Linked DNA regions of Kluyveromyces lactis. The protein of the gene in region 3 interacts with the protein of the main gene of each other region in a biochemical or structural test. Links are inferred from orthologs where the notes say so. Each region holds a gene or a part of one and is shown on either strand. Other genes may lie near its edges.

What was found.
Region 1: the proteins of TFB3 (region 3) and SSL2 are reported together in a solved structure, tested with the Saccharomyces cerevisiae proteins (2 studies listed by BioGRID, with this or other methods). The link is inferred for Kluyveromyces lactis from reciprocal best matches to the Saccharomyces cerevisiae genes TFB3 and SSL2.
Region 2: the proteins of TFB3 (region 3) and SSL1 are reported together in a solved structure, tested with the Saccharomyces cerevisiae proteins (2 studies listed by BioGRID, with this or other methods). The link is inferred for Kluyveromyces lactis from reciprocal best matches to the Saccharomyces cerevisiae genes TFB3 and SSL1.

Annotation. Positions count from the first base shown.
Region 1 is NC_006041.1:1,154,021-1,158,276, forward strand, and holds SSL2 (TFIIH/NER complex ATPase/helicase subunit SSL2), read right to left. Parts: upstream 2,801-4,256; coding exon 224-2,800; downstream 1-223. Other genes in the region: SRP40 (Srp40p), read left to right, coding at 3,326-4,256. UniProt on the Saccharomyces cerevisiae protein: ATP-dependent DNA translocase. Component of the general transcription and DNA repair factor IIH (TFIIH) core complex. When complexed to CDK-activating kinase (CAK), involved in RNA transcription by RNA polymerase II.
Region 2 is NC_006041.1:850,376-853,696, reverse strand, and holds SSL1 (TFIIH/NER complex subunit SSL1), read right to left. Parts: upstream 2,111-3,321; coding exon 644-2,110; downstream 1-643. Other genes in the region: KLLA0_E09593g (uncharacterized protein), read right to left, coding at 2,402-3,321. UniProt on the Saccharomyces cerevisiae protein: Component of the general transcription and DNA repair factor IIH (TFIIH) core complex, which is involved in general and transcription-coupled nucleotide excision repair (NER) of damaged DNA and, when complexed to TFIIK, in RNA transcription by RNA polymerase II.
Region 3 is NC_006039.1:1,296,098-1,298,865, reverse strand, and holds TFB3 (TFIIH/NER complex subunit TFB3), read right to left. Parts: upstream 1,525-2,768; coding exon 568-1,524; downstream 1-567. Other genes in the region: CGI121 (Cgi121p), read left to right, coding at 1-376; KLLA0_C14850g (uncharacterized protein), read right to left, coding at 1,830-2,768. UniProt on the Saccharomyces cerevisiae protein: Acts as a component of the general transcription and DNA repair factor IIH (TFIIH or factor B), which is essential for both basal and activated transcription, and is involved in nucleotide excision repair (NER) of damaged DNA.

The DNA.
Region 1 (4,256 bases), on a different chromosome or scaffold from region 3:
TACAATATCAATACTGTTGAAATTCACTGTGCAAAAGCAATCATTTCTTTGTTTATTTTAGACAGCGGACGAAAACATCTTTTTATAGTGATTATATGTGGTATATTTAAGTATTAGGATTTTATAAAACTGATTCGTGATGCGATTTTTGGAAAGATGATTCATTTGCTGTTTAAAGTATGCCAGTTTAATACGGATGATAAATTATAAAACCCAATATTGTTCATTTATTTGCACTTCTATAGTACATTTTACGGATCAATGGATGATGATCTCTTAAGTCTTTATTCTTATTGGAACTGTATTCTAGGTATGCCATATCCTCACCACCAGCCAAACCAGCCAAAGATCCTTCGCTCTTAACAGCCTTAGATTTGTTCCTTGGTCTCTTGTTCCCACCATTCTTCCAAATGTAGCTATCGTTATCCTCACCTGCTTCAATGCCTGCAGCTTCTTCGTTTTTGAGAAGAACTTCTTGCAAAAGTTCTCTACGTTCTCTAGCAGAAGAATATGCTAGATTAGGCAAGTTTTCCATACCATGTAGATGGGTGATAACCTTGAAAGCATAACCTTGATCAACTAAAAATGCCTGTCTCTTTGTGGAGTAGTACATTTCTTGAGTATCTTTAGAAACTAGAGAATAGAAGAAGGCGTTGAACCCTTCATCGTTACGTCTCTTAGCTCTTAAAATTCTACCCAATCTTTGTGCTTCTTGACGTCTAGACCCGTAATGAGACGAAATTTGGATCAAACAAGTCGCCTCTGGCAAATCAATCGAAGTATCTCCAACCTTTGATAAGAAAATGGTATTGATTTGGTCATTATATTGAAAATTCTGCAAAATATTCATACGCTCTTGTTGTGGCGTGGAACCGTAAATGAAAGGCTTACCTAGCTTCAAAGCATATTCTTGAAGAGCGTAGACGTTATCTGAAAAGACGATAATTTTATCACCTCTCTTTTCATGATATTGAATCAAAAATTGACACGCCTGGAACTTGGTTGGATTCATAATATATAGTAGCATTCTTTTTCTCGCATTCTCTCTTAGATATTCTTGGTAAAACTCTGCAGTCATTGGACACCAAACTTCCGCACACTGCACATTAGCAATGTGACCTTTCTGTGAAAGTTCCATCCAATTAGCTTCGTAAAGTTTTGGACCAATCAAGAAATTCAAATCACTAATCTTGTCATCTTCACGCACCAAAGTTGCAGTTAAACCTAATTTTGCATGTGCGGCAATAGTGGACACAACACGTCTAAACATGGCTGCAGGTACGACATGTACTTCATCCAAAATAATGAAACCCCATTCTCTACCCGTTAAGAAATCCATAACCTTTTGAGAATCGTACGATCTATTTCTAGTGTTAGCAACCATGGAATAAGTCGAGACCACCAGACCAGATTCAGTTTGGAACATTTCTTTGTTATCTGATGTGAAGACGGCAACATTTTCAGGCTGGAGCGTACACCACTGAAGGAATTGTTGTCTCCATTGCATGACTGACACTGACGAAGTACAAAGCACGATCACAGACTTTTTGATAGTACATGCCGCTGTGATACCGACCAAAGTCTTACCAGCACCGCATGGTAACACAATAATACCACTTCTTGCACGACCGTTACCGAACATTTTGCTCAAGGATTTTTCCTGATATGGTCTGATTTGAGTTGATGGTTTCAAATCGATATCTAAATCTGGATTTCTTCGATCGTTCCTGAAATCATATTCTTCCAACACCGGATAGTCAAGTTCTTGACATCTTTTCTTCACAATTTCGACAGATGCATTGTCAATTTCGAAAGCATGAACCGCATCTATATCATCGTCTTCTTCTTCAAGTTCCTTATTGGCCCCCACGACAGCTGAAAAGACAGCTTCCACATCGTTAGGATCCACTCCCTCTGCATCTACCATCTTATTCGCCATGGTTTTCTTAACCGCAGCATCCACTGCAGCATCGGTATCGATTCTTAGATTACCAATGATTTGATCGTTTAACAACATTTGCAAGATATCAGCTTGAGAAGTTTCCACGAAATATCTATTATGCTTAATGACCAATTTCACCTTACCGTATGATACAGTTGCACTCTTAATGAAGTTGATAATCGAAGGTGCAACAGGAACCTTGGACAATCTGTCCAATACTGCTATGATATCTTCAGTTTCCAAACCAACCGAAACCGCAGCATACAAAGAGTAAGCCGTAATTCTGTACTCATGAATATGAGATGGTCTAGAAACGGGTTCTGCGATCGTCACAAGAAAATCCTGTGCTTGTTCTGCCAATGGAGAGAATGATTCTAAGATCACACGTCCATCGTTAGGCGATATCCATAAAGGCCGCGAGGCATGATCCGGCTTCAATTTTAAGTAGCTGAAATCGTTAGTCTTGAACATTCCTGAAACAACGTCAGGCTCAAAATCAGGGGGAATATCGTCCAAATGTGCATGAAGGATATCATCCTTTGCTGCTAGATTATGGTTCATTCCACTACCAGCAGTTGCAGCAGCAGCAGATCTAGAAGAAGAAGAACTTTTCTTCGATTTCCGACTCAAAAGAGGATTCACTTGAGGAGCAGGAGCGTTCGCCTGCATTAGAGATTCCTTTAACTCAGCTTCCTCTTCTTCATCTAAGACATCATCGTCGATATCTGGGGCAATATCCCCGTATTCTTCATCGTCTGTAACCAAAGAGTCATCTGAAAAAACCGTGTCCTGCACTAATTTCTCCTTTCCACCTCTACTTCTTGTGTGATATGAACGCTTCACTACCTCATCTTCCATAATGACACAATTAGTGTACAGATAGACTCCGGGGATAGACCTTAATTCCCTTGTCCGTCCTTGGACTTTGATTCTTAAACATCTAATTAAAGTTAAAGTTCTCTTAAAATCATCTTTCAGATTAATAATGTTGAGGCAAAAATGATTACCCGGACAAACAATATAACCAGAATGAGCCAAAAACCCAATATAAGTTAGAGTTGGATGACCAACTAATAACCATTGCAACCACTAGGTAGTTCCACGATTAACAATACAACAACGAGGTTGCCGAATAGACGAAAAGGCCGGTTTTGCTAGTTGTTTTTACAGTTTTAGTAGTTGTAAGACTGAAACAACCCATACACCACACCTCAGGACATCGTCACATAGTACGGCAAAAGAAACGTATTGAAAAAAAATTCGAGATTAATAGCGTTATCCAAACGAGATGAGCTTGCGATGAGGTAGGTTCAGATCTTATCCAAGAGCGATTACGATAGGATCACCAGTGGTTTGGGTGAGGAAATAGTCTAATTTTTACAGATGAGTGTTAAGAAGCAAAGTTCCAAGTCTTCAGTGCCAAAATTGACGAAGAAAGATGACAAAAAGGTAAAATCATCGTCAAGTGGTTCAGAGTCTAGTTCCAATTCCAGCGACAGCTCGAGTTCAGGTTCAGGTTCAGGTTCAGGTTCAGGTTCAGATTCGGATTCGGATTCTGGCTCAGACTCTAGTTCAAGCTCTAGCTCAGATTCAGAATCGAACTCTGATAGTAGCTCCAGTTCCAGTTCCAGTTCCAGTTCCAGTTCCAGTTCAGACTCAGACTCCAGTTCAGACTCAGATTCTAGTTCCAGCTCAGACTCTAGTTCCAGCTCAGACTCTGATTCCGACTCAGACTCTAGCTCCAGTGCCAGCTCAGAATCCGATGATGAGGACGAAAAAGACATCAAAATTAAGATAAAAGATGAAAAATCTGAGCCAGTAGCAGTGGAAGTAAAGGTGTCGAAATCGTCAAACTCGGACTCGGAATCTAGTTCTGATTCTAGCTCCGATTCAGACTCTAGCTCCGATTCAAGCTCTGACTCAGACTCCGATTCAAACTCTAGCTCTAGCTCTAGTTCAGATTCAGATTCAGACTCTAGCTCTAGCTCCAGCTCGGACTCTAGTTCGGACTCTAGTTCAGACTCAGACTCAGACTCAGACTCAGACTCAGACTCAGACTCAGATTCGTCCTCAGATTCGTCCTCCTCATCTAGCGACTCCGATAGCAGCGATAGCGAAACTGCAGTAGAAACCGAAACCAACAGCAAACGTCCTCTTGAAACTGAATCTGATTCCACTGAAAATTCCAAAGAATCATCACAAGAACCTTCAACAAAGAAACAAATGATTTCAGCTGGCGTTGATGAAGTATTGCCTGGACAAAGAAAACATTTCTCCAGAGTCGAAAGAGAGAAGATTGCATTTGAACACGAAG
Region 2 (3,321 bases), on a different chromosome or scaffold from region 3:
TCAAAATAAATAAAATAATGCAACAATCTCTGCTGTATATTCAACCACTTAACAGAAATGTTTAATTGTGAAGAGGATGAGTCCGATTTAATTAGTGAAATCAGTTAAACCGGATTGACAGCAGACTAAAGTGATTGGAAAAATCAACAGTAAGAAGCCAATGCAAATGTAAAGAGACGTACGGTTGAACTCCCTGTGAATCTCAAGTTTGAAAGAACCTACCTGTCCTAGAGATATAGCACAAACTTGATGGTAACAGGAAGTTTATTCAGTACAGTATTTTTTTTTTGTGAGGTCGTTGAAAAATCGGTTGGTATCTTGTTGCCTTTTCTATTCGAGGTTTCATTTTGCAATTTCTCCGATGAGCTGAAAAATTTTGAAAATAATCGTTACTTTTTATTTTGTCACAATCTGAGATGCACTAAACAAGCAGATAATGATTAGGAGATGAGATTTATACAATTGTAGGGAAAGCGGTATCCAGCCAACCCAGGGGGAGTACATTGTAAATAGATGTAAAGGATGTGAGTGCCTTTTTTTTAGTAACCATTCAATGTTATATACAATTTGAGTCAATGTTTAAAAGTCGTTCTTGTGATATTTTCTTCTTGGAACTACCGAGAAAATGATTAGCGGGTTAAATTCATTTGATATTTACATTGATTGGTTTGGACTCACACCCAGGGCAGTTGTGTAACGTTTCATGAATGAATACATCACAATCTATACAAAAATCTTGATCACACTCTTCACATCTGTACCTGCTGCTTGTTAATAGTTCGCCTGTTTTGTTATTTCTTAAGGTGGGGAATCGCTTTTGGCAGCCGAAGCAATAGTCTGTAGGGAAGCTATCTGACACTGGGACTTCTTGGAAAGTCTTAAGAGGCATCAAATGATGATACGATCTTGCTAAATGTGTTGAGAGTATCAACATCAAATCACAACTCGGACATACTGTCGGTAGAGAGCAAACCTTAGTTTTGCAATTGGGACAGACGTAACCACCATGGACTAGAGTCGAATGGCAAGCACAAAATGATGGTGTGTCCTCAAATACTCTGGTAGGGAATCCCATCTTAACCAAGGTGAACCCTTTGTTCACTTTGCTCACCGGTAACGGTGTCACTGCACTTGTGAATAGTTCCTTAAAATGATGATCGTTCAATATAATCCCATAATATGAGTTATCTCCATAATTCGTCTGCTTACACAACTCTTTGCAAACGGAGACTTGAGCAGATAGACCAATAACTTTTGCTCTAATATTCTCATGTACCAATGAGCCAATCGTTTGATGAATATCACCTGGATCTGTAGTTGATAATGCACCGAAAACGATGAGTACTTCTCTAGTACAATGCGCTGGAACATGAAGTAAGAGACCTCTAGCCATCTCTAAAGCATTTTGTAAAGAAGCGTTCCCCTTTGGTTCTTGCCTACGAAGCATCTTTAAAGCATCGATATGTTCTTGAGGGTTACCACTGACCTGCGATATTAGCTGAGCTAAACCATCACGCATAACAACTACACCAATTTGAGAAATAGGATTTTGATCAAAATACTCATGAATAAAGTCTACAGCATATTGTACTGTCATTGCATATCTATTAGGTCGCAAATCTTTTTCCATCATTGCTTCGCTACAATCCAATACCAAGATAAGGGTTCTGATAATACCTCTTTGATACGGAGTAACCGTCTTCTCTGCTGCCCTTTTTTTTCTTGCTTCAACTATGCTTGCCACAATAGCAGCGATATTGCCTTCATCATCAACTTTGACAAGGTCCCAACTTCTTTGAATGTCATCTTCCCAGGCATAACCACCATTGACACCTTGTAAGTTCTTGTTGGACAGCTTCTTCTTCTTTTTCTTCTTCATTTTTCTTGGATCACGACTTCTCTTTGATAGTTGTGAATGAACTCGTTCATCCTCTTCATCATCACTAGAATTCCCATTGCCTGCACCATCCGAATCTGCAGTTTCTTTTGTTCTAACATGCTTCTTCACTTTGTTTTTCAGCACTTTGGTCTGACCATCTTGTCTATGTCTCTTGTTAGTGATTCCAATGATCCGTTCATCGTCTGATTCACTATCTATAATAGGAGGCATTATCGTAATCAAAAACGATTAATAAAATTTGACCAGAGTACAGCCAAATGTAGTCCAATTAAAAAATCGACTAATGCCTGGAGCTCTACGTCTATTCAGCCAAATTGGTGTAGCGTTACTCTTTAACCTTCAAATCTTGCTTCACTTGTTATAAATTCACTAAATTTTCTTACATGATTTTGATCATGTGATCATATGATCAAAAAGTTTCAACACAAAATAGCGAGGGTTGTATGTAAAACCTAATAATCACTGATTTTATTTAACGAACTACACCATTATACTTGAATCTTAAACGCTGAATTCTTGTGGTGGACACTCTTTATCTGAATCCCAGTCCAATGGTTTTTCACTCATGTAGTATTCGATGGTACCACCGTGTTCGAATAGCTCGGAATGTCTAAACCAGTTCTTATCGAGTTCTTTGTCATTGATAACAACTTTCTCAATGAAGTTGTTTCTGACACCAAATTCTGAATATAAGTTATGTGCAAAAATTTCAATATCTGGAACGTTAGGCATGCTTTTAAGTTTCAAATAATTAACTTTCGGACTTGTTAATAAATAAATATCAGTACCAGCCACGGGATAAAAACCTAGAAGGGCAAAGGTTAGCCACGCTTGCATGGCTCCTGCATCAGAATTCCCTGGCAAACCACGCGGTCCCGTCTTAAACTTTGTATTTATGATCCAATCCACTAATGCTGACGTTTTATCTTGTCTGTTAATGTACGCGTAAAGATAAGGTGTCAAAAAACTTGGTTCATTGCCAATATCAACCACGTTCTCATGGCCACAGAACGCATACATATCATCTAAACGTTTTTCAAACATTGCTTTCGAACCAATGTATTCTAATAAAGTCTTCATATCAAAAGGCACCGTCCACCCATATTCCACGGGTTTTCCTTCATATTCATCGTCTCTCCAATAGCAACCAAAGCATGTAAACGGATCATATCTATGTTGAGCAAACGTACCGTCAGAATTCCTAGGTTGTACGAATCCGGTGTAGTCATAGTGTATATTCACACTTTTAGCATTTGGGTTCCAAATGTTACGCCAGTTTTTCGATCTTTCAAGGTATGTCTTTGCTAAATCTTTTTTACCGAGACCTTTGGCAACGATATAAAGGGCAAAATCGTTATACGAATACTCCATAGTTCTGGTGACACTTCTTGAGTAATTTCTTGTTATGTACCCCAATTCAA
Region 3 (2,768 bases):
ATCCAAATTGGCTGAATTACCTTTTGCATACATCGACTCCAAAACTGTGATATCCGTTGAACAATTGTCGAGTGCCATCTATAAGGCTATTTTGGAAACAGAGTACAATAGAATGCGGACAAGAACTATCCATTCTGAATGCATTTTATCACTATCTCCTAGTTCGAACATTGGCGATGCATTGAACAGATTTGGTATAAAGGAAGGAACAACTGATATAATTGTGATCAAAATCATTGAAGACAGTAATGAAGAACCCTATGATGGCAATGCTTCCGTTGATGGGGACCTAGTTCCAGTCTCGGATGATGAGTTTTCTACATCTGCCGATAAAGAAATTATCAAAACGGTATGTATTCCTTGTGATAAGTTATGAACAAATGAGAAGACTCTTAATAATGAATAGATTACTAACCTAAATGCTATATGATTATGATGAGGATAAAGAGCTACCGAGCTCTTTACCATTGTACTATGTGTTTTTTTTTTCGGTAGAATTACAAATTGAATAAAGTAGGAGATGTATCAAACGAAGAGTTATCAACACTTGCCGTCAACGCGATACAACTAAGAGGATTGTAATTCTTCGCTAATGATACAACCAAGACCCATGAATGCCTCTGTTAACATTCTATCATAAATGAAGTCCGCCCTGAATCCTGAGGCTATATATTCCTTCTTCTTTTGTAAGTCTCTGATGAAAGAATCATTATACTCGTTTTCAACCAATTCGTATCTTTTGTGTAAATCCCTGTCCCCATTGAATGGTGTGAACGGTACAGTATCTTTCTTCTTCATTCTACCATTTGTCATTGTCATGTAAGGATTGTTTCTTAACACTTTATTTAATTCTTCGAGCTTCCTTCTGGCAGAGGATTTCTTTAGCTTGACAGTCTTTTTCACATTTTCAATAACTTCCTCAGCATCTTCATTCACTGTGAGCTGGTTGACAATTTCTCTCTTTGCCCACTCCCTATTAGCCCTCTCTTCTTCTTCTATCTGTTTCTCTAGTAGTCTTTTCTTTAACTTCATTTCCTTTTCAAACTTCTGTCTCTGTTCGAAGTTAGCGACATCTTGTTTGCTCCGCTCTAAATTTGCCATGATTAGCTGTTTGTTTAATTCTTCGTAGGTTCGTAACCTCTCCTCGGTCTTCTCCATATCAATACCATGGTCTAAGTTGTATATAATATCTTCCACTTCTTCTAGGTATTTATCATAATCGTCTTGGTTGTTATCGAAATCTTCCAGCGTCTTGTTAAACACATTGAAAACACGTTTTCTTATATCAACTTCCTTCTCGACACCTACATCATCAAAGATTTGGGTCTTGAACTTATTTCTTCTCAAAATTTTATCGCACCCTTCGTATGGACACTGAGCAGGACCCAAACTGAATATACGATCCACGCATGATTCACAAATTTTATGATAGCATTCTGGATTGATCAAAAACTTCATATCAGGCGATAGATACCTGTCTGTTTTACAGATAGGACACATGTCCTTCTTCTCATCTTCATCCATGATGACGATTCACGTTGATTCGTAGTCCCAGATGATTTAGTTTGATATCTATTTCTTATTCATTGTCCTTACAATTTGTTCATTATTTATCATCAACTTTTCAAATAAAGGTTTCTTGTTTTATACCACCGATATTGAATGATATTGTATGACAGAGACAGCTAAAATCACAAAATGATGAGAAAAGGATTACTTATGCGGCAGGCAAATGATACTGAAGACAGTAAAGGGAGCATTTACTGAGGAGACCTACTGCGTTGGTGAGCAAAATGTGGTTATATTGTGTATATATGATTTTTTATTAGCTAAGTTGGGGCGTTTATTGCCTTTCTGACAGAATTGTATATTTTATATGGCATTAACTTCTTCATTGTCTTAACAGGTTGCTGAAGGAAGGTTGATGTAAATACGATTATCTTTACCATGGTACTAAGTAGAAAATTTTTTGATGGAATTGTTTTACTGCTTTTATTGGTTTCTTCATCTAATCTTTCTCTCAGAAGAGGAACGTAGCTTTCTTCAAAGTGTTCGACACTTGATACAGAAACCAGTTTTATTGATTCGTTCTGTTCAACTTTTGTGGACTTTTTGAGCAAGGGGCTATGTAAAATTGATGGTGGGTTCAAAGGCGGGGTTGACTCCAGAAGAATGTCTTCATCTACGTCTCTGCTCTTGCAAAAATTCATTACCGTACTTTTATCTTTGAAAATGTTAGCGTTCTGATTCTTGTTCACCCTTCTTTGTGCCAAATCTTCCTGTTCCTTCAGATCATCCGCTTGCTTTTTAAACCTATTCAAACCCTCTTGTGTCAAATCAATATAAAATATTATGAGCATTACTGCAAATCCAACTCTCTGGGAAGAACCAAATCCTATGTGCCAGAGGCAGGTGTAAATCGGAGAAGAATTTCCATCAGGAGCCAAACATAAATGTATGGCAGAAGCTCCTATTGAAACAAGAATCGCATTCATTAGGCCATATATGAATAGCTCTTTCCAGTATTTTCTCAAAATTGGATGCAATTCATCATATTCCATTAAGTATTGGTATGCATAATCATAGATTTCCCTGATGGAGAAAGTAATATCATATATGTTTCTTGATATCACGTAAATAGTCATATAGCAACCAAAAAGCCTATCAACTTCAGATAAAGTTAGGTATTTGGTATTAGTCAGTAGGTCGTAAGATTTACCTGAGAAAGTGTATTGTTCGTCTGAGAACGACAAAATATGTACGGTGAC